3 linked regions of the Daphnia pulex genome follow. The protein of the gene in region 2 interacts with the protein of the main gene of each other region in a biochemical or structural test. Links are inferred from orthologs where the notes say so. Each region holds a gene or a part of one and is shown on either strand. Other genes may lie near its edges.

Evidence for each region.
Region 1: the proteins of importin subunit alpha-1-like (region 2) and importin subunit beta-1-like form a complex in vitro, tested with the Homo sapiens proteins (6 studies listed by BioGRID and IntAct, with this or other methods). The link is inferred for Daphnia pulex from reciprocal best matches to the Homo sapiens genes KPNA2 and KPNB1.
Region 3: the proteins of importin subunit alpha-1-like (region 2) and exportin-2-like form a complex in vitro, tested with the Homo sapiens proteins (2 studies listed by BioGRID). The link is inferred for Daphnia pulex from reciprocal best matches to the Homo sapiens genes KPNA2 and CSE1L.

What each region holds. Positions count from the first base shown.
Region 1 is NC_060020.1:1,460,840-1,467,145, forward strand, and holds the start of importin subunit beta-1-like, read right to left. Parts: upstream 4,392-6,306; 5' UTR 4,202-4,391; coding exon 4,144-4,201; intron 4,035-4,143; coding exon 3,976-4,034; intron 3,835-3,975; coding exon 3,451-3,834; intron 3,387-3,450; coding exon 3,234-3,386; intron 3,172-3,233; coding exon 3,022-3,171; intron 2,955-3,021; coding exon 2,613-2,954; intron 2,548-2,612; coding exon 2,215-2,547; intron 2,152-2,214; coding exon 1,933-2,151; intron 1,875-1,932; coding exon 1,299-1,874; intron 1,241-1,298; coding exon 1,017-1,240; intron 961-1,016; coding exon 793-960; intron 573-792; coding exon 572-572; 3' UTR 1-571. Other genes in the region: D-aspartate oxidase-like, read left to right, coding at 5,875-6,013, 6,085-6,136, 6,193-6,306.
Region 2 is NC_060028.1:47,481-53,773, reverse strand, and holds importin subunit alpha-1-like, read left to right. Parts: upstream 1-1,979; 5' UTR 1,980-2,132; intron 2,133-2,365; exon of another isoform or gene 2,366-2,403; 5' UTR 2,404-2,426; coding exon 2,427-2,489; intron 2,490-2,555; coding exon 2,556-2,724; intron 2,725-2,784; coding exon 2,785-2,932; intron 2,933-2,991; coding exon 2,992-3,247; intron 3,248-3,304; coding exon 3,305-3,857; intron 3,858-3,921; coding exon 3,922-4,199; intron 4,200-4,380; coding exon 4,381-4,482; 3' UTR 4,483-4,727; downstream 4,728-6,293.
Region 3 is NC_060018.1:3,694,764-3,701,294, forward strand, and holds exportin-2-like, read right to left. Parts: upstream 3,926-6,531; 5' UTR 3,838-3,925; exon of another isoform or gene 3,747-3,837; intron 3,523-3,746; 5' UTR 3,521-3,522; coding exon 3,436-3,520; intron 3,372-3,435; coding exon 2,533-3,371; intron 2,463-2,532; coding exon 809-2,462; intron 746-808; coding exon 408-745; 3' UTR 301-407; downstream 1-300. Other genes in the region: uncharacterized protein LOC124188473, read right to left, coding at 4,174-4,249, 4,309-4,775, 4,841-4,976, 5,066-5,386, 5,451-5,658, 5,724-5,894, 5,961-6,161, 6,226-6,366. UniProt on the Homo sapiens protein: Export receptor for importin-alpha. Mediates importin-alpha re-export from the nucleus to the cytoplasm after import substrates (cargos) have been released into the nucleoplasm.

The sequences.
Region 1 (6,306 bases), on a different chromosome or scaffold from region 2:
TTAAGAGGAAAACCTTAACTAGATAGAAAGGGGTTTAGGAAAGAAGTTGACAGAACAGGTTTGACACTAGGATGTCCTTGAGTGCAAGATTCCTTTTCGCTCACCCATTTACTCGCTTTTTTCCCTTTCAATCAAACAACTATTTCGTCTCATTTTCTCACATCCTTTCCAAATAGATCAATTGGCCGACAACGTCCCATTCACACACATACAAACATCATGGATACATACATACACACACTCTCTCATACATCCGTTCGGACATTCGTACAGCGTTCAACCAAAATAAATGAAAAGTGAAGGGAAAAATTAAGACTGAAATGGAAGGGCAAACAAGTGCTGGCAAGGAGGAATAGTTGGTGCGATGGTATCCGTAAAAAAAGAAGGAAAGACAGAAGAGATAAGAGGATGGAAGACTGCGTGAATGTGTACTGAAGTGAGGAATAAGTTTTGAAAAGAGATACTAGTAGGCAAAGTCCGATTCACTTTCATCCACCACTCACGCTTCATCATCAAATGTTCACGTTTTTCTCTTTTGCCTCACGCGCATGCGTACCAATCATTTGGCCAATCTGTAACAGATAATAAGACAAAGAATCGCATTCATATCCATACTCTTTCACTCTCAATCAACCTTACAACCAATATTTAACATACTGTACGTACCTAACCTAAAATAAAGTAAACTTAATCTTTTAAAATAAAGTAAGGTATTTTAAGTAGAAAAATAATAAAGAATTTTGCGTTCCTCTGATTTTAATATTTAAAAAAACTAGCAGCTAAAACACTCACCAACTCGAAGTAACGGTGGCCTTCAGTCGGCGGATTTCCTTCGTGGCCCAGTTAGACAGAGTCTTTGTCTTTCCCGTTTTAGATCGTCGTCCAATAGTCAGCATGTCGGTGATTGGTTCAGTGTCAACGAAAGGCAGCAATTGATGTCCAAAGGCAGAGCAAAGATCGCTGAGAGAGAATTATATTAAATACAAGTACTAGCTAAATAAAAAATGATCCTGTACCCAATAAGACCAGCGGCGGCAGAAATGGTGCCATCTGATTTCTCCCGGTCTCTCGCAATCGTAGTGATGAAGTTTATCATGTGGGGAACATGTGGAAGTATAAGCTGGACATCATTTCCAATAGTTTCTTTGTCTTCCCCTTTGAGACCCTGAACAATTCCAGTGTATGCTTCAAGGCAGCATTCGCGCAGTTCATTCAAATAATCCATGATATCAAAATCATTCTGCAAATAACCAAACATTAAAACCAAACACTTTCAAATTAAACGAAATTGTAATTACTCGGTTGACTTGGGCTTGAGATGCTTGGTGCAGCATGCCAATAACCAATTCAAGATACTTCTTGAATTCTGGGCCGATTGCCAAAGCCATATCTCCGAATACAGCCAAAATCTGGGGTTTGACTTTTCTATCAACTTCGTTGTTGCCAAGGGTCTCCAATAGAAGCGACATGATTGAATCACAAAAAGGCAAGATCTTGGCGCCTAGAGCTCGGCAAATGTCGCCAACCAGTCCGACGGACGCCTGGCAGATGGTAGTCTCGGCGTGGTTTCTCAATCCCATGATAAGGTAGGGACGGAAGGCTTCCATGTACTTGATGAATCCTTCGCCAAGGACTTCCGTCAATGTTGCCACTGCCATCAACGCATCTTCCTGAACACCACCAGCACGATTTGGCCCAGCGCTCGAATTGAACATCTGCAGCAAGGCCGCCATGATCGGGTCAGAGATCTTGGGAGCATCTTCTGGGGTGACTTTACGAAGCACGCTCTGTAATGTGGCGCAGAGCAGCGACTGAAGATCGTTGTATTGGACTCTATCCGAATGCGACGACACGTGGGATTCCATGTTAAGAACCTAAAAAAATTTATCCGTTTTACAATGCCAAAACATGCTTTAGAGTAAGTGATAATACCTGTTGCAATCTCTCCAAGATGACCATTGTGGTCTTCTGTACAGTAATATAGCAATCTTTGGGCGAGTTCTTGACCATTTCCATCAAAGCTTCATAGGCAGCAGCACGGAGGTTAGCTTGAGCAGCATCAGGCCGATCAGTCGTTTCCAATAGCTTTTGAACGATGGGCTCAAAATATTCAGACAGGCAGTACGAATCTGGTTCATTTCCATCGGTAGCCTATTCAACTCAAGAACATAAATTTAGGTTTATTTGAACGTAGTTACAAATTTTCAGTGTTACCTGTGAAGCAGTTTCATAGGCAGCTTCAGCCAGGCTCGAGAAAGCCCAGCAAACATTAGAAGCGACACGAGGCTCAGCAGTCAGTCCAGTAACGAGAGCCTGAAGCAGTGGCTGAAGATTGGGGGGAGCCACAGCTGCATCGGGGATGATTTCACAAACTCGTCCAATCGTCCAGGCTGCAGTGTCACGTACATTAACGCTTGTATCATGCATCAATTTGAAAAGGAAAGGCATAGCTTGTTCAACAATAGGTTTTAACTGAACAGCATCAGGTCCTTCAAGGATAGAACCAAAAGCCATTACGGCGGCGTCACGGAAACGCCAGTCTGGATTCTAAAGTTGTTGAAAAACGAAAATGTTATTGTACCAAAAATGTGATTTCAAGAACTGTATCCAACCTCAATGTTCTCCTTGACGAAAGGAAGGACGTGAGGAACGATGACATCTTCACAGCAGTTGGCTAACAACATGAGACACACACCGGCAGCCTTACAGGGATTCCAATCGTCTTCATCATCATACTCTTCTTGTTTAGTCAACGTTTGCATCAACACAGGAACTAGATATTGAAGAGCTCCCTTTGCGTAGAATTTAGACGTATGTTCAGGCGGACGGCCCATTTCAGCAGCTTCGCTGGCCTCGATAGCCAAATCCACCTCTTCGTCACAAACGTTCGACCAGAACTCAATACCTTGCAGTGCGATTTCATCAATCTCCGACCTCATCGCTTCCAGTGTAATCTATTCATAATAATGAGTAAAAACTTTAAAATTTGTATAAATTTTTTTGTCAGTTTGATTAACTCACCGCAAAAAGTGCTGGCCCCATGTAGTGCTCCATGTATTGGTAATATAGGGACATAATTTTGACCAGACATTGAAGTGCTGCAACCCGTACTTTTGTGTCGGGAGATTGCGTTGCTTCACACACAACTTGCATGATGAAGTGCCGTTCACTCTACACAATTAGAAAGCGATCAGTAATAACAAACGTAGGTATTCAAATAGTAAAATACATACTTCTTTGTCGAAGTTAGCTTTAGTGAACTCCAATGAATTCAATAGCGCAGTTGTGGCAGCCAATCTGACGTGATTGCTTGGTTCCTCACGTTTCATGCCATGTACGATAGCAGTGAGAATCTCGTTCGACTGAGTAGCTAGTACTTCAGCATCCTGCATTTTTAAAACATATTTTATAATTTTCTCATCCAAATTATGTAATACTTGAATCACTCACAATATCCTGGCAAATATATCCAATCGTTTCCAGAGTGGCTTCCCGAACCATTTCTGTGCTGTTAGCTGCAGTGACATTGGCAACAAGTACAGATATCAATTCTGGCCACTGACTGACTGGTAGTTCAGCAACTGCCATGTACGCAACACATTGAGCAGCAGAGCTAGGGCGGATGGTCTCTGTACCCAAAGCAGCTAAAATGTTCTTTTTTACATAGGTCCTTAGATCGTGTGGGAATGACAACCATCTCTGCTGGTATTCCAGCTTGACATCGGTATCTTTTGAAGTCAAGCAATTTTTCAACTGCAGACCAGCTGCCATGCGGGCAACAGGGCTATTTGCTCCATGGGCAAGAATGTCAGACAAGGCTCTGATGAACTCAACCTATGTGAGAAGTACAAGTTTAGCAAAGTAGAGACTTAGTTTGAATTTTAAATTTATCTAGCCAAACCACATTTGATACAAGTTTTGCTTAGCAACACAAAAATGGGAGAAAAGTTGGTTGAAACAAAGAAAGTTGCTTACCAGATTGCCTCTTGCTGCCTGTTCAAGATAATTTTGGGCTGCTTCCAATTCATTCTTCTCTGTTAGACAAAACGTGAATGACAGTTACTAAAACCATTCAGTGTTCGGGAAAAATCAATGGCGTTGTAACCATGCCGTTGTAGAAAAAAGTAAATTTAAGTAACTAACCTGACGATACAGTTTTCTCCAAAATTTGAATTAGTTGAATATTTGGTTCGGGCACCATTTTCCCTCCTTTTATTAATAAATATCACAGATCTTTCAGTCGTAAAAAAAACTTCTAGGACTTGTTAATAGCTAGGCGTGAAAGAATCAGACGGTTAAGTTCGTCTCAACCGGCGAAGGGCGAACACATGTGGCGAAAAAAAAACCACCAGTTTTTCTCAAGGAAAAGCGACCTCTATTTGAAAAAGAATTACACGAATTTTTTATATTCAACTAATGACCAAAAATAAAATATATTAAAACGACGTACTGTGAAAAATAAAATTTTTCAATTATTTTAAATCTAATCATGAATCTTTTTGTTAAAGAATGTAGTATTTCAATCGGATCTATGTAGTCCATGCGTAGGGTTAAGTTAACTTCCGCTCTCATAAAATGGCGGCAAAGTGATTACGAAAAAATGTGATTGTTTAACCAAGAGTATCCAAAAATTATGAAAACTCTCCGGGGAAAACTGCATTTGATTAATTGGAATTAAGGAAACGCCATTTTGCCACTACAGTTGAAATTTGATTTTCAACTTTAAAATAATCAACTTGCTATCCTTCGAAGTTAAGAAAAGCGTACTGCCCTACATAGTTTCTTAATTAGAGTCAAATTTCACTAAATTATAATTTTTGTAGGCTGCTATGATATTTATGAGTCCGTCAATCCCACAGGGAATTGGAAGCTTTTTCGGTTAGTAACTGTCAGAATAGATGGCGCCAATTTGAAATTTGAATCAATAGAGCAGATTTCTATATTTTAAAATATTGCTACTGCTTTAACTTTTACGAATAAATTGTTATAGTTCCTAAAATGAAGAATAATTCGTTGTTCCTTGTGAACCATGATTAAAATGCAACCTATTCTCAGCTGACGACGCCCGTTAATGCTGCAACACGTACTGACTTGAATTGTATCCAAGCATTTCGTCATAGATTCGACAGGATAGTCAAACTATTAAAATGTAAAAAAACTTACATCAAAATGAAAAGAAAAATTGTCCTACGTGCGAATAGAAAACATTTATTACAAGAATAATCCAAATTAAGTATCGTTGTTGAAGGACGACAGGTACCGCCACTATCGCGGAACCAGGTAGAAAGGCAAAAACGTAACCATACTGAACGCTCTCTGTTTGTCTGCAGAAAATCAGTAGTCAATAACTTTGATAACACAATCTGTCTGCTGTCTACGTGTTTAAACATGGCAACGAATAAATAAATTTTGTATTTTTACTTCCATAAAAATGAGCCATTTCGTCACTGACGTACTACTCGTGATTCTAGGATTGGTGGCTTCCGTTATTATTGTTTTGAGCATTGTTGGAATTGGTAAGTTGTTTACGCAATATTAATATGCATGGGCGAAGAACATCAACAACAGTTATCTTTATGTCTTTTTTTAAATTCATGATAAAAATTTTGTCCTTGATGCTTATTTTTAATCATATGCTTAAACCTAAAAAACATTCTAATCTATTGTGTTTCTAATCAGGTTGGTTTCTAGTTTGGAAATTCTTCTTGTCACGATTCAAGTTTGTTAGGGAGTTGCTGGGAACTGTATCTGACCCTAAACCTGAAGCATCTGCTGCTGAAGCAACAGGCAGTCGCATTAGATCAAGACCCAGAAAATCTCGATTGGATTGACTTTGTGTATTCATCATATTGTGTTGTATTTAAACTAATCACTATGGTTGTGAAAGTAGCAGTGATTGGAGCAGGTGTGACTGGCCTGAGTGTTGCAACAGTACTTCAAGAGAAATTCCCCAATTTACCTATTACCCTTTTTGCCGACAAATTTAGCCCTGGAACAACAAGTGATGGGGCAGGTATAGTTTGTTCATCAACAAAAGTTTTTTATAATATAAGACTACATTTCTGTTTTTGTTTACATTATTAGCTGGACTTTGGATGCCTTTCTTGTTGGGAGACACTCCTGAAAAAGATGTTTAGTAAGTTTCTTTCTAAAGTTAAAGCTATATTTAACTTTTAATTCTATTGTTTGTAGTGTTTATTCCAAGGATACATGGATTTTTTTAAAGAAACTATGGGACTCTCCTGTAGGAGGAAAACTTGGAGTCTCTCTTGTGCCATGTTTGCAGACTTCTGACACGGTAAATCC
Region 2 (6,293 bases):
TTTCGATTCATTAGACATTTGAATATCCAAGTTTCAACTGCAGCTTAATCACGTCGTGTTATTATACCTGGATCGGAAACTGAACAATCAAAAAGAGCCGGTGAAGGAATTGACGTTGTTGTTGGTGCAGCTTTTGTCCTGGCGGGGGTGTTGGATTTTGTGCTGATTGTTTTCTGCGATGTTGTTTGCGGTGCTTCAGGGATGTCGTCGTTCGTGCGGTTGTTTTGACTGACGTTGTTGTCTTGGCAGTTGTCCGTTTGGCTGTTGTTGTCGTCGTGGCAGGTTTAGTGGACGACGTTCTAACGGTGGTACTACTGGACACGGTTTGGTGGTTGTCGTTGTCTTCGATGTTGTTGATTTAACAGTTGTCTTGGCAGTTGTTGTTGGTGTCTTGCTGGTGGTCGTTGCAGGTGTTGGTTTCTTGGTTGTTTGGGCCTCCTGTTTCGTGCATCATCAAATAATAATGCGCCACATTATGTTCAATTAAAAAAGAGACGTGGAACAGATTGAAACTTAAACGAGAAATGTCAAAACAACTCACCATGGCGACAACCAGGCAGACGGCAACCAGAAGGAAGAGAATCGGAAGGAACTTCATTTTTTATCTAGGAGATCAGACGTGGGGGTTTAGGAATTCAAACGCCCAAGTGGGTCGTCATTTTATAGTCGAGCCGCATTTTTCTATGTCGATTATTTAAGTAGCGCCAGTTGAACTATCGGATTCAAATGAAACTTGACAATTTACGAGGGGCTGGAAAATGATTGGACGTGATACGAATGTGTTGGAATAAACACCAACTGCAACACCAACTTTGCAGGGTCGTTGTAATCCAGTTGAACCGATGACGGGAGTTGCAGCTGTTCACGTTGGATTTCTCCGTTTCTTTTGGAACTGCCCGGCGGATTGCAACTAATTGTGGGGAAATTGGAAATGAAAAGGAATTTTAGAGTCTATTAGCACACGTGACCTAATCACAGAATATGATTAGTTTTTAAGAAACGTATAGACTGAAAAATGTGTTTAACGTATTACGTGCACACTGTCCAGCACGGATTTTACGACCACCTGTGTCGGAATTAGCGATTCCAACTGAACTATATTTGGTACGCTCTGTTGATCAAACTTGTCGAAAGGCTAAACGGTCCCCTCTTGCAGTCGGATGAAACTGATTTTTAAAAATAAAAGTTATTTGCCTGCCACTGATTTAATAAATTAAATGAAATAAGATATATAACTTGAATTCACAACTGTTAGTGTTTAAAGCAATTAAAACGTTTTAATTTCTACAGAAAGTTTAGAGATCAGACAAGAGACATTGTAAATCTAAATTTCATTCTGTATGTTTGGTATCACAGCTAGGCCTACCTCATTTCGTTAGGAAGATGTATTAAAATGAAGTTTCTTCCATACTTTATCTGTTGATTCTGTTCACACTGATTTTGGATGATACTCTTACAACTGATGGAAAATTTGGTCTGAAAAATATTTGAAAATTTAGTATAAATTAATTTGGGTTGTGGGAGAAAACTTTTCTTTCTTCCAGATGGCAGTCTAAAGTTTAAGCTTTCAGGAATCGGCTGGCACTGGCTGGTATTCAAATTTTTGCCACTTTTTTAGTTTGGAAAACAGTTTTATATAAATTGAATGTTCAAGATTACTGGATCTATATTTGTATAACTTCTTCCTGCCAACATAAAAATTGTTGATGCTAGTTTTATGAAAACTGTTTAAACCAGGGGAGAGATCTCTGACACTGTCATTTGGACATCATCATACATCATGTTCTTAAAGAAAGACTTCCAACAGATCATTAAGTCAGAAGGTTAATTAATGAGAAATCCTATGGTAACAAATTCTTATTAAAATCAATTATCAATTTCAGTTAAATTCTATTATGACCAGCTCCATCGGCGTTTTTCATTTTCTGCTTATTTTGAAATTTTAAATTTTCTCGTCTGCTTATACGTTGCCAGATTTGATCCCATTCCGATTGCATCAATGAATAAATTTGGCAACAGGCAACGGTTAGGTTTGAAATTCCCTCCCCCTTCTTCTTCTTCGTCGTCTGGAATTCTCTTAGCGATCAAACGGTCACCATTCATCAATTGATTCTTGCTCACAAGTCCCGCAGGTAATTCCTCTCTCTATTAATTTTCAATTTTTCTGACATTCCCACGTGGAATAATAGTTTACTTCTTGCTTCGACTATAACAAATTGTGAAATAATGGTATGAGTCATCATTGACACATTTTTAACGACTGCCATAGTCTGGGAAATTTTGCACGTGGCGCGGGAAATTTTTTCTCTTTGTTGCTTCATTGTCTCGAGTCCCATTTCTCATTTTTCTTTTGTCATTGTGCCAGATTTGAAAATCCCTTTTAGAATTCTCTTTCTTTGACAGCTGGAGTAAATTACACTATCACAATGCCTACTGAAGCAAATCCCAGCCGGTTGAAGGACTTCAAGAACAAAGGCAGAGATGTTGAGGTAAATACCTTAAAATAACTAGTGTCAGTTCTCAAATGTAACAGATTTTTCATCTTTCTTGTTCAGGAAATGAGGAGGAGACGTACAGAGGTGAATGTTGAGTTGCGGAAAGCCAAGAAGGAAGATCATTTGTTGAAGAGACGTAACCTTGAAATCGATGATGAGCCCCTCAGCCCACTCCAAGAACAGAATCGGATGGCTGCAGCAAATATGAGCATTGAGGACATAGTCAATGGTATGTGTGCATCAGTTTTTATTTCTGAGTTGCTTCTCATATGTTTTTCATTATCGTTAGGTATCAACAGTGGTGATGAGAACAAGGAGATCACTGCAACCCATGCTGCCCGTAAAATCCTCAGCAGGGAACGTAATCCACCCATTGACATCCTCATTAATGCAAATGTTGTTCCGAAGCTGGTGGAGTTTCTCAGTCGTGTCAGCAAGTATGTCAAGTGTCTCTTTTGGTTTTTGAACATTTCCTAATGGTCTTTCTTTGTTTCAGCCCCGATCTGCAGTTTGAGTCAGCCTGGGCTCTCACCAACATTGCTTCAGGCACATCTGACCAGACAAAGGCTGTCGTCAGTGCTGGGGCTGTCGCTGGCTTCATTTCCCTGTTGGGGTCACCTCATCCAGTTGTGGCAGAGCAAGCTGTTTGGGCTCTGGGTAACATCGCCGGAGACGGACCAGAGCTTCGTGATCACGTCATCGAGCAAGGCATTATCAAGCCTCTGCTTACTTTGATTAAACCTGATACTTCGGTGAGTTTTATTTTAAATTTACGTTCGTGTGCAGTTGTTAATTGATTTGATCTATAGGCCACATTCTTGCGTAATGTCACTTGGACTTTGTCCAACTTGTGTCGTAACAAGAATCCTCCGCCCAGTGTCCCTGCCGTCCGGCAACTGCTTCCCGCATTGGCCCACCTGATCCACAACAACGACAAAGAGATCCTCGCCGATGCTTGCTGGGCTCTTTCTTACCTCACCGATGGCCCCAACGAACGGATTCAGGAGGTTGTCGACGCCGGTGTCGTCCCACGGCTGGTCGCTTTGCTGGACCACGTTGAGGTGGCCGTGATCACCCCCACTCTGAGAACAATCGGGAATATCGTTACAGGAAGTGACATTCAGACCGATTCCGTCCTGGCTGCTGGTGCCTGCCCGTTGCTGGCCAAGTTACTCGTTCATGCTAAGATGAACATCGTCAAGGAGGCTGCCTGGACCGTGTCCAACATTGCTGCCGGCAATGCCATCCAGATTCAGGCTCTCATCACCAACAATGTTATTCGTCCGTTGGTGGATGTGCTGGGCAAAGGTGACTTCAAATGCCAAAAGGAGGCAGCTTGGGCCATCACCAACATCACTTTAGGTAACTTATTTCATTTTTACTGGTGTTTTATTGATTTTTAATTGATTTTTCTTATTCATTTCAGGTGGCAATGTGGAGCAGATCGCCTTGTTGTGCCAGTTTGGTGCCATCGCTCCGCTGTGCACTTTGCTGGAGGCAAAGGAACCCAAGACCATCTTGGTCGTGCTGGATGGATTGGCTAATATTTTGGCCGCAGCTGAGAAAATGGGTGAATTGGAGAAAGTTTCCCTTCACGTCGAAGAGTGTGGTGGTCTGGACCGCATCGAAGCTCTGCAGAGCCACGACAATGTTGAAATCTATCACAAGTCATTGGCCATTCTGGAGCAGTACTTCTCAACTGACGTAATTTATTCTTTTTTTATTGTTTCTTTTTTTGGGTTTATTTCAATGATTACCACAACTGTTCACATTCATAGTGTTTGTGCTGACAACTTAACCATTACTGAGATTTTAGAAAATTAGTTTTATTTTGAAATAGTGTTCTTGAATTTGATTTAATCGTTTTTGTTTGTTATTTCGACAGGGGGATGAAGATTCCGAGTTGGCGCCATCTACATCGCAGAGTGGCAATTACGAATTCAACAACTCGCCATCTCAAGCCCCCGAAGGAGGTTTCTCATTCTAAATTTTGTATAATCTAAAAATTCTTTTTGATTTTTTTCTGCCTTTACAACGGTAAATATATTCTTCACTTTCTTGAACGCTATCCTAATCATGAGTTTTGGCCTTTTCTTATTTCAAAGTTTTTTTCTAAATTGTTTTTTAATTGAAAGTTGCCATTTGCTTTCATTTCTGTCCATGCACGACGTCTTCTTTCCTCTTTCTCAATGCGCGATAAACGAGCAATACAAAACAACTCGATCAACTCTACATTTGATAAGTTTTGATTTTGTCGTGCTAGTTTTTATTTTTTGTATTTCAAGTTGATTTCCTGATTCCAGGTTGTTGGCTGCTTACAGTTAATCCGTGTTCTGACATTTGTAGATAATTTCCACATCAAAGTTTCATTTCTACGTTGACATTTAACCCTAACAGATACTACTATCGACTACAGGAATCATCTTACAACGTCTGGACCCTTATCAAAGTTAAATTAGTTTTCCAATGTTTTCTTTAAAGTTTTTGCTATTATTTAACAGGATTCAGGATTTCCATTCTGAAGTTGATCAGCAAGTAGTAGTCGATCCTTATGGCACTTTGATCCACGATTGCTGTTGGATGAATCAACACTGTAGCCCTTCTGTTGGACTCGGTAATCAGGAGAAATTCAACCATGTATCCCAGGCAGTTGCTGCTGCCCAACCGTTTGAACCCATAAACTGCCCCTCCTTTGTAGCAACAGGAATTCGACTGCGTTTCATGGCGTGTCGCCCAAAGTGGGTGAAGAGATTCAATTTAGTCCATGCTGTTTCACTCAAGGCCTAGGAAAACTGGAGCTATTTTACAATCAACATAGACAAATGCGACGGACGATTTCGGTTTTGGATTCATAACCTCTACATCTTCTATATAGAAAATGAAATCAATTCCGATTATTCTCTTCGTTCTGGCTGTCGCTGTGGTAAGTTGTTAATGTGTGACAGTTCCCCTTTACTTTTAAAACCTTTATTTATTTATTTCACGTGCACAAAATAGGTGTCATGGAAACTCTGACCAGTTGCGACGACAACGGCCAACGTAAACACGGGTGTTGCCCAAATGTCCAGTCTGGCCCCTTCCACTGCGACAACGGGAATTATTACAGGATTTGCCAAAGAGACACCATGACTGTGCACCAGTAGGAAAGAGACTGGCTACGGTTGCGTTTATCAGGTATAAGCAATGCGTTTATTTATATCGATGGCATTTGATTGAAAACAATCGTGTCTGATCTACGATTGATTGTATTGTATATATTTTGAATTTGAATGGTTCTTGGAAGCTTCGCCAGATCCCAGTCAGTGTTTCAGTGTTTTTCTTGAATATCATGCTGATGAGTGATGACTAAATAATGAGATTTGACCACATTTTTTTTTACAGGGTATCTGCTTTGAAGATGGCCAACGTCAAATTTCTTTTTATTAATCCAATGAACAATACTGGTGGGTTTTCGAATGGACGTGGTAACAGTTTTGTTTTGCTTATTTGACTTATTGGCCTTTGATTGTAATGTGGGCATCTTATTTTCTAGACATACAGCATGCGACCGTTCATCCCTGGCAGGAGGATCAGGTGGATCGGGTCCAGAAGCCGGAAGCCCATCATACGCTGGTTGAGAGTGACGTCTGTGACGAGTTGGTGGCGGCCAAGACGATTCTGTCGACTCAGTAGCTGCCGCAGTTGTTGCGGCCCATCAAACGAGACGTCCAGCGGGTGAACCAGCGACGATGGCCGATATTGACGAGAAAGTGAATTGATCGGATCCAGCATCCCGGCTGCCCACGGCTACTTGGACTC
Region 3 (6,531 bases), on a different chromosome or scaffold from region 2:
CTGAATTTTATCCATATTTTAAAAGTAAATTAATCACATCGGATTAAATTATTAATTGAAATTTTATTTATTTTTAATTAATTTCTAACACTTTTCCATCAAGGATTACCTCGTGAACAGATCCAGACTGATGGCCAAAGCCCAAAGGCATTGGTAAAACCCAAATTTCATAAGGATGTGAAAGTTTCCCGTTCTTTATAAGGGTGCCAGGAATAGGAAACTGAATTACATCCTAATGCGAAACGCCCTCTTTTTACCTATGATTACAGTTAACTACTTCCAAATGGGTTATATTCTCAATTCGTGCGAAAGATGCAGCATTTTATTCATGATCGATACAGAATGAAACCATAAAGCACAACAGCGACTGAGAAATGACAAGGTACGAGAGAATAGATGGACATCCTTCAAGCTAGACAGAGATTCGCTGCCTGAAGATACTGCTGAATATAATTTTGAGCCCCCGGTGGCAAGGCAGCGCTAATCATGGGACCGACTCGACCAGGATTCTGCGTCGATAATCGGTGCAGTGCTTGAACGAGATAAGCTCGTGGGTCGGCTACTTCGGCGACTGGGTCGCGCTCTTTCTTGCCTACAAATATCAACTGTGAAAAAGCTGACTGATAGCCAGGTGTGTCCACGATTTCAACAAAGTGTTCGTCCTCTGGCACAGACTCGTCCTCGGGCAATTCAATCAAGCCAATCAAGGCCCCCAACACCGGCCCCCAAAAAGTGCTGTATACTCCTGAGGATTACAAATTGAATGTTAGCAATACAACATACATGTTAAAAGAGGTCAGAAAAATACCTGTGAAACATTCGGGAGTGTCGCAGAGCAGACGAGCTAGTCCAACGGCGCAAATTTTGCGTTCCAAAGTGCCCGACACGCGTTGAACATCAGGTACTATGAGACGATCGAGAACCATGGCGAAGATTTTCGGTTGGACAGCGTCTATGACGGCAATCAACTCTGTGGGACTGTAGCGAATGGCGAACAAGGAGAAAAAGACTATGATCGATTTGACGTACTTCGTTGTTTTGGAGGATGAAAGCCTCTGGAATAAGAGTACAAAGAGTTTACTCAAGAAAGGCGTAAGCGCTTCCTTGGGCAGATATTCAATCATGCTTTGCAGCAGGTAAAATCCTTCATGATCATTAGATTTACTGGCCACTAGCTTTTGAAAGATGCCTAATAACGCTTCAAGCTTTTGCGACGCAACAACTTGACGACTGCCAATTTGGATAAAGGCTTGAAGGAGACGCACTAATGGATGGATGTTTGCAGGGCGCTCCCAGAGGACTGGAACCAGCAGATGAGGGAATAAAGCCATGTAAGATTCAGGCACTTCAGACTGCCCACCGCGCAACTCAAGCATAAGAGAAAGAATTTGAAAAACATAAGGGACGAATTCCTGTACGTCCTGAAGTAAAATTTCCTGAAAAGAAGGAAAGAATCCTTCTTCAAAGGAAGCGACGGCTGATCGATCAGCTTTGCAACCGATGCGAACCGACAGCGAAAGTGTTTCAAACAGGTAGTGATTGAAATGTGGCTTGGAAGGGTTTCGGGACACCAACATTAACTTTTGATTCAGGCCAACCAAAGTGTGACCTAGATAGGGTAAAACAGCTTCTTGTAGCGACGAAAAGGTTCGCATGATGGCCTTCATGATGTATTCATTTTCTTCCGATCCCGCAAGAGTCATTGCATGGAACAAGTTTGCCAGCAATGCTTGCTCCATTCCAGACAAATCAGTTGCTTTAATCAAGGCCGATCCATCGGATCCCTTGAGAATAAGCAATTTGTCGATGGCATTGGCTGCGTAGGAGTGAACGACCAGACTCGGTGAACGAAGCAGGTCCACCAAGGGTTTCAACGAGACAATGATGGCCTCGCGGGGTAGGTGGTTGCGGAAAGTCATCAAGTATTTGATTGCATCCGCTTTCAAGACCATGAGCCGGTCAACGTTGGGTTGTTGCAGTTCGGGCACTATGTGCGTGCGGAAGAAATCCACAAGATCTACCAACTGGTTAGTTTGAGTCGTGCCGTGTCGAGCCGTCTGACCTTTCGAGGCTAACGCAATGATGAGATAAACGGCAGAATCCTTTGACCGCCAATTCTTTTCTGGGCTTTGTACGTACGACTCCAACATGACAGCAACGTACCGACCAAAGATTTCCGTCATCTGGGCCTCGAAGGATTTTGAAAGGGCTTTGACTAAGTCACAGGCTGCTCGTCGTCGAGTGTCTACGTCAGAACCTTCGATATCACGCCGAATGTACTCTTCTGGGTTGTCCTCAAAGAGTTCTTCATCCGATGGCCGGAAATCCATGTTGGGCAAAATAACCTTCTCGCAAATGGAACTCAGGATATTGGGGTCAGCGAAAAGGTCTTTGTAATGTGGTCGCTCAGCCACGGAACTCAAAAAGCCGATTGCATTACTAACGAGTGAATCGTACTTGACCTATAGACGAAAGAGATTTTGAACATTAGAAAAACCACTCATTGAAAATGAGTATTCAGCGGTGTCTTACCTCTTTGCCGGTTGAAACCAAAAGATTCCAGACGGCAGTGACAAATTGAGGCAAATAAGGGCGAAATTCTTCATCATATTTCGAAGCGTAGAGACTGATATTATCGCAGATTTGTGATTTTAATTGTTCACCTAATCCGGCTTCTTCATCGCTGTCACTCTTCAGTAAAGGATTGTCGGTGGTAAGAAGGCCAAGAAAGTTTTCCATCCATGATTTCATGTTGTCTTCAAAATGCTCGGGTAAGTCTTGAAAATTCAGCGAATAGAAAATTTTGCAAATGATGGTCAGGGAATTATAGATGACCTTTACAGCTGCCGGATTATTAGCATGTTGCGCAGCCAAACCCATCATCGTAATAAACAGGTCTGTCAGTGGCTTGGCAAAGTTATCCAAAACCAATTTGATTTCAGTCCACAATTCTTGAGACTTAAACTCGTAGCGATAACGTTTAAAGATGGAATGGGCAGTATGCAACACACCGTTAATAACGTGGAAGTCACCCGTGCCAAATTTGTCCACCATTTCTTGAATTAAATTTGGCCATTTTGCAGGAAAATCTTCACGACCAATAATTGAAACAGCGTCACTGAGCTGGCGTTGAATAGATTCAGGAGCTTTGAGCATTAAATTGATGATAAACTGTTTGACAGTTTCCCGATCAGAGTGATGGATTTTATCTACTGCATCTTCTTCAACCTTCCAATTTCGTTTAATGTAATTCTTGAATGTCACAGCTCCAGCTGTTCTCAGTGTCATGTCAACACCATCTTTATCCACCAAATTTAAAAGCAGCAGTGGGTAATTTTGTTTTCCTTCAATGCTTTCAAGGCATTTTTCAGCTATTGATGAAAAAAACATTAATCATGCATTTATGTCAATACAAAGAATAATTGTGCAATATACCTGATTTTCTCGTAACTCCATCAGGTGATAGCGTCTTTTGAAGATGACCTAATAGTTCTGATAAATTTGCATCATTGATCTCCATTCCTGTCACACAAGAATACAAGAAAATCGTGAATCATCATTTCAGTATGAGGCTCATAAGACACTGAAACATCATTCAGAATTTCGGAGGGAAATTATTAAAAGATGTACCGATGTTACAACCAACTGATTTAGTTTTAATTTACTTCCCTATTTAAGTTGTGCATGACTATAGCACATGGTCAAATAGAAATAACCAGAATGATTTTAAAAATACTTTGTCTCACCTGACAACTACTTCTAAGCACATCTATCAACAAAACATTCATACAAACTTATTCCTATTGTAATTCCGACGAATATAATAAAATAACTTACTGAAAATTTGTGAGTGAACGGTTGAAAATGACTTCTCTAGATTTAAAAATCGTCTGAACGAAGTTTTCTGCCTGTCGGTGGAAATAGAAAATGTTTTACAGACGTAATGACATAACCACTACCTAGATGGCGTAAAGCGGGAAATTACGAAATTACTATTTTTTACACGAATTCGAACTAATAACAGTAAAATTCAATTCAGTTATTTGATTTATTAAATGTCTTGTCTGCGAAAATCAATTACAATTCTAAAAATGGGCCTCTTAAAGACGAATAAGTAAAAATAATAATAAAATAATAAGGCGTCATAATAAGGCGTTGATTATTAAATTGTTTTTAAAAATTAGTTTCAATTTCTTCTTCTGAATCAAAATCCGTCAATGTGATACCGTACAAAACATGTGATCCAATCCTGAAACAAAGAATGTACGAATATTGTTTTAAAATTGTACAACATCATGCAATTCATACTGTTGATCCGTGGAGATGGAGTTCACTCTACTAGACCTTGATGAAGATGTTATCGTATCCGACGATGAAGACGCAGGAGAGTATCGACGTTGTTGCATGTTTTTAAAGGTATCGTTGTCGAATACAACATCTTCCATCTCTTCCATTGGAATAGAAGAAATGTTGGGAAACTCGCGGTTGGTCGGACTGCTGCTAGATTTAGTCTTCAAGATTCCACGTTTAGGTACGGTGGGAAGTGGTGGCATGATAGATGACATATCGTTTCCCTCATTCGCTATTTGATCTCTATTGCTTCCATTCTGCCGTTGGAAACCGCTGGTGATGGGTGAAACATTCAGTACAGCCGCTGATCGAGCTGGTCCCTGATCCACATTTCTTACTTGATAAGTAGGTCTGTGACTGTTTCGCGAATAAAATGTTCCTTTCTCCGGATCGTAAACCATTACGGGGCGACCATTTTCTTGTTCCTGTTAAATTAACGAATGAGTTTGAATTCAGGATAAACACAATAAATGTGTTGCCAACAACTTACGTCAATAACGAAATTTGGATTATCAACACCAGAATTCATTTCGAAGCGACTTGATTTGCCAACGCCTGTGATAGAAATGTCACTGTCGGCACCTACGGAATGATTATCATTTTTTATTTCGTGATACTTTCTTCGCCTAACCCAAAAAAAATTAAATAATCATAAATGATTAAAATAATTATGTCTACGGTAATTTCAAAAATATCTAATGAAAAATGTTGTTACTTTTTAGCGTCACGACGCATTTTTTGCCGCCAGACAATTAATAACCCAATGAGGATTAAAATAATTAGAATGAGGACGACACCAACAAAGATCCAGTACAAGTTGGCCAAGTCTTCTGGCAGGACGACTTCGTGAATGTAGCCATACTCCCTTACAGCTTTTTTTACTTCTTCGGTCGGAAAGGCGTAAGTGACATCAGTCTCTCCTGTTTTTTGGTAAAACGCGCGGACAATCACATGCGTCAGACCGCAGATGTCCATATCGACATTCCATCCATGATAACAGTTCTCAACTTGAACTATTTGGACAGTACCGACAGCACTAAGGAAAACAATTTAATTCAATATTTCATGAACAATGGAATAGAAGAAAAATCGCTTATTACGTTAAATTAGGAACTATTTCGCCTTTTTCCAGCATTCCAGATGACTCGGCATACATCTGCAAAATTTCTGCCAGCTGTGAAGATGCTTCGGCGCCCACATATGTGTGGTAGACGACATCAGTTAAAAGGATATCTGGATCAAATGGCAAAGGCGTGGGGCTTGTAGGCATAGGTGTGGTCATGGGCGCTGCTGTTGTCAAATTCTTTTCTATATAATTGAAACAAAAAAATTTATATTTTACCGTCACCATCAACTACTGGTGTTGTAATTACCAATCACTTGGTAGGAGATGAAAAATCCTTTTGCGGAAACCTGTTCAGCGTCGGCGGGTCGTAAAACATTAAAAACTAAATGAGCTTTAGGTCCATCAATCAAAAATTGAACTCCTTTGGTAACACGCCACGAGAGGACAACTGCGCTCTTATCAACCGAAGGTTCCGACCCTGTAACGAAGCGAAAAATACGAATTTTTTTAAATACAATAAATATGCAAGAACTAGGAGAATAACCAGGTCCAAGTGTGATGTAGTCCCCGTTGATGCCTGCAATGTCCAGTACATTAACTGTGAGTAACAGGTCCACATATTCCCCTGCCACATCTGTGACATCAATCACATGTATATCTTCTGTTGTTTGAGATGGGTAAGATATTCCATAACCGGGAGAAGTCATATTTCCTGACGTTTCGTTATAATTGTGGATATTTGAAGCTATAAATAAGGATATAATTTAATTTGAAATTGTCAATGCAAATCAAATAATATATGTTTATACTCAAGACTGTAATGTTGTATTGGATTTTGAAGTTTGACCGATATGCCATCAGGTTGGCCTCCATCCACAGTTCATTGGAGGCACTTTCATACTCATAGGTCGGATCACCATTTGGTAGCTCGTTTCCACCGTCACTAGAACCTAATAACAACCTTATTTTTAGGTAATATCGTAGACTACATGAACAACCCATCAACCTGATGAAATTTGTGCGATTGTGTTTTTTGGGGATCAACTTGGTTACAAGCGGCGATTATTGAAATCTATAATATATTTAGTAGTATATTCTATCTATAAAGATTGGAT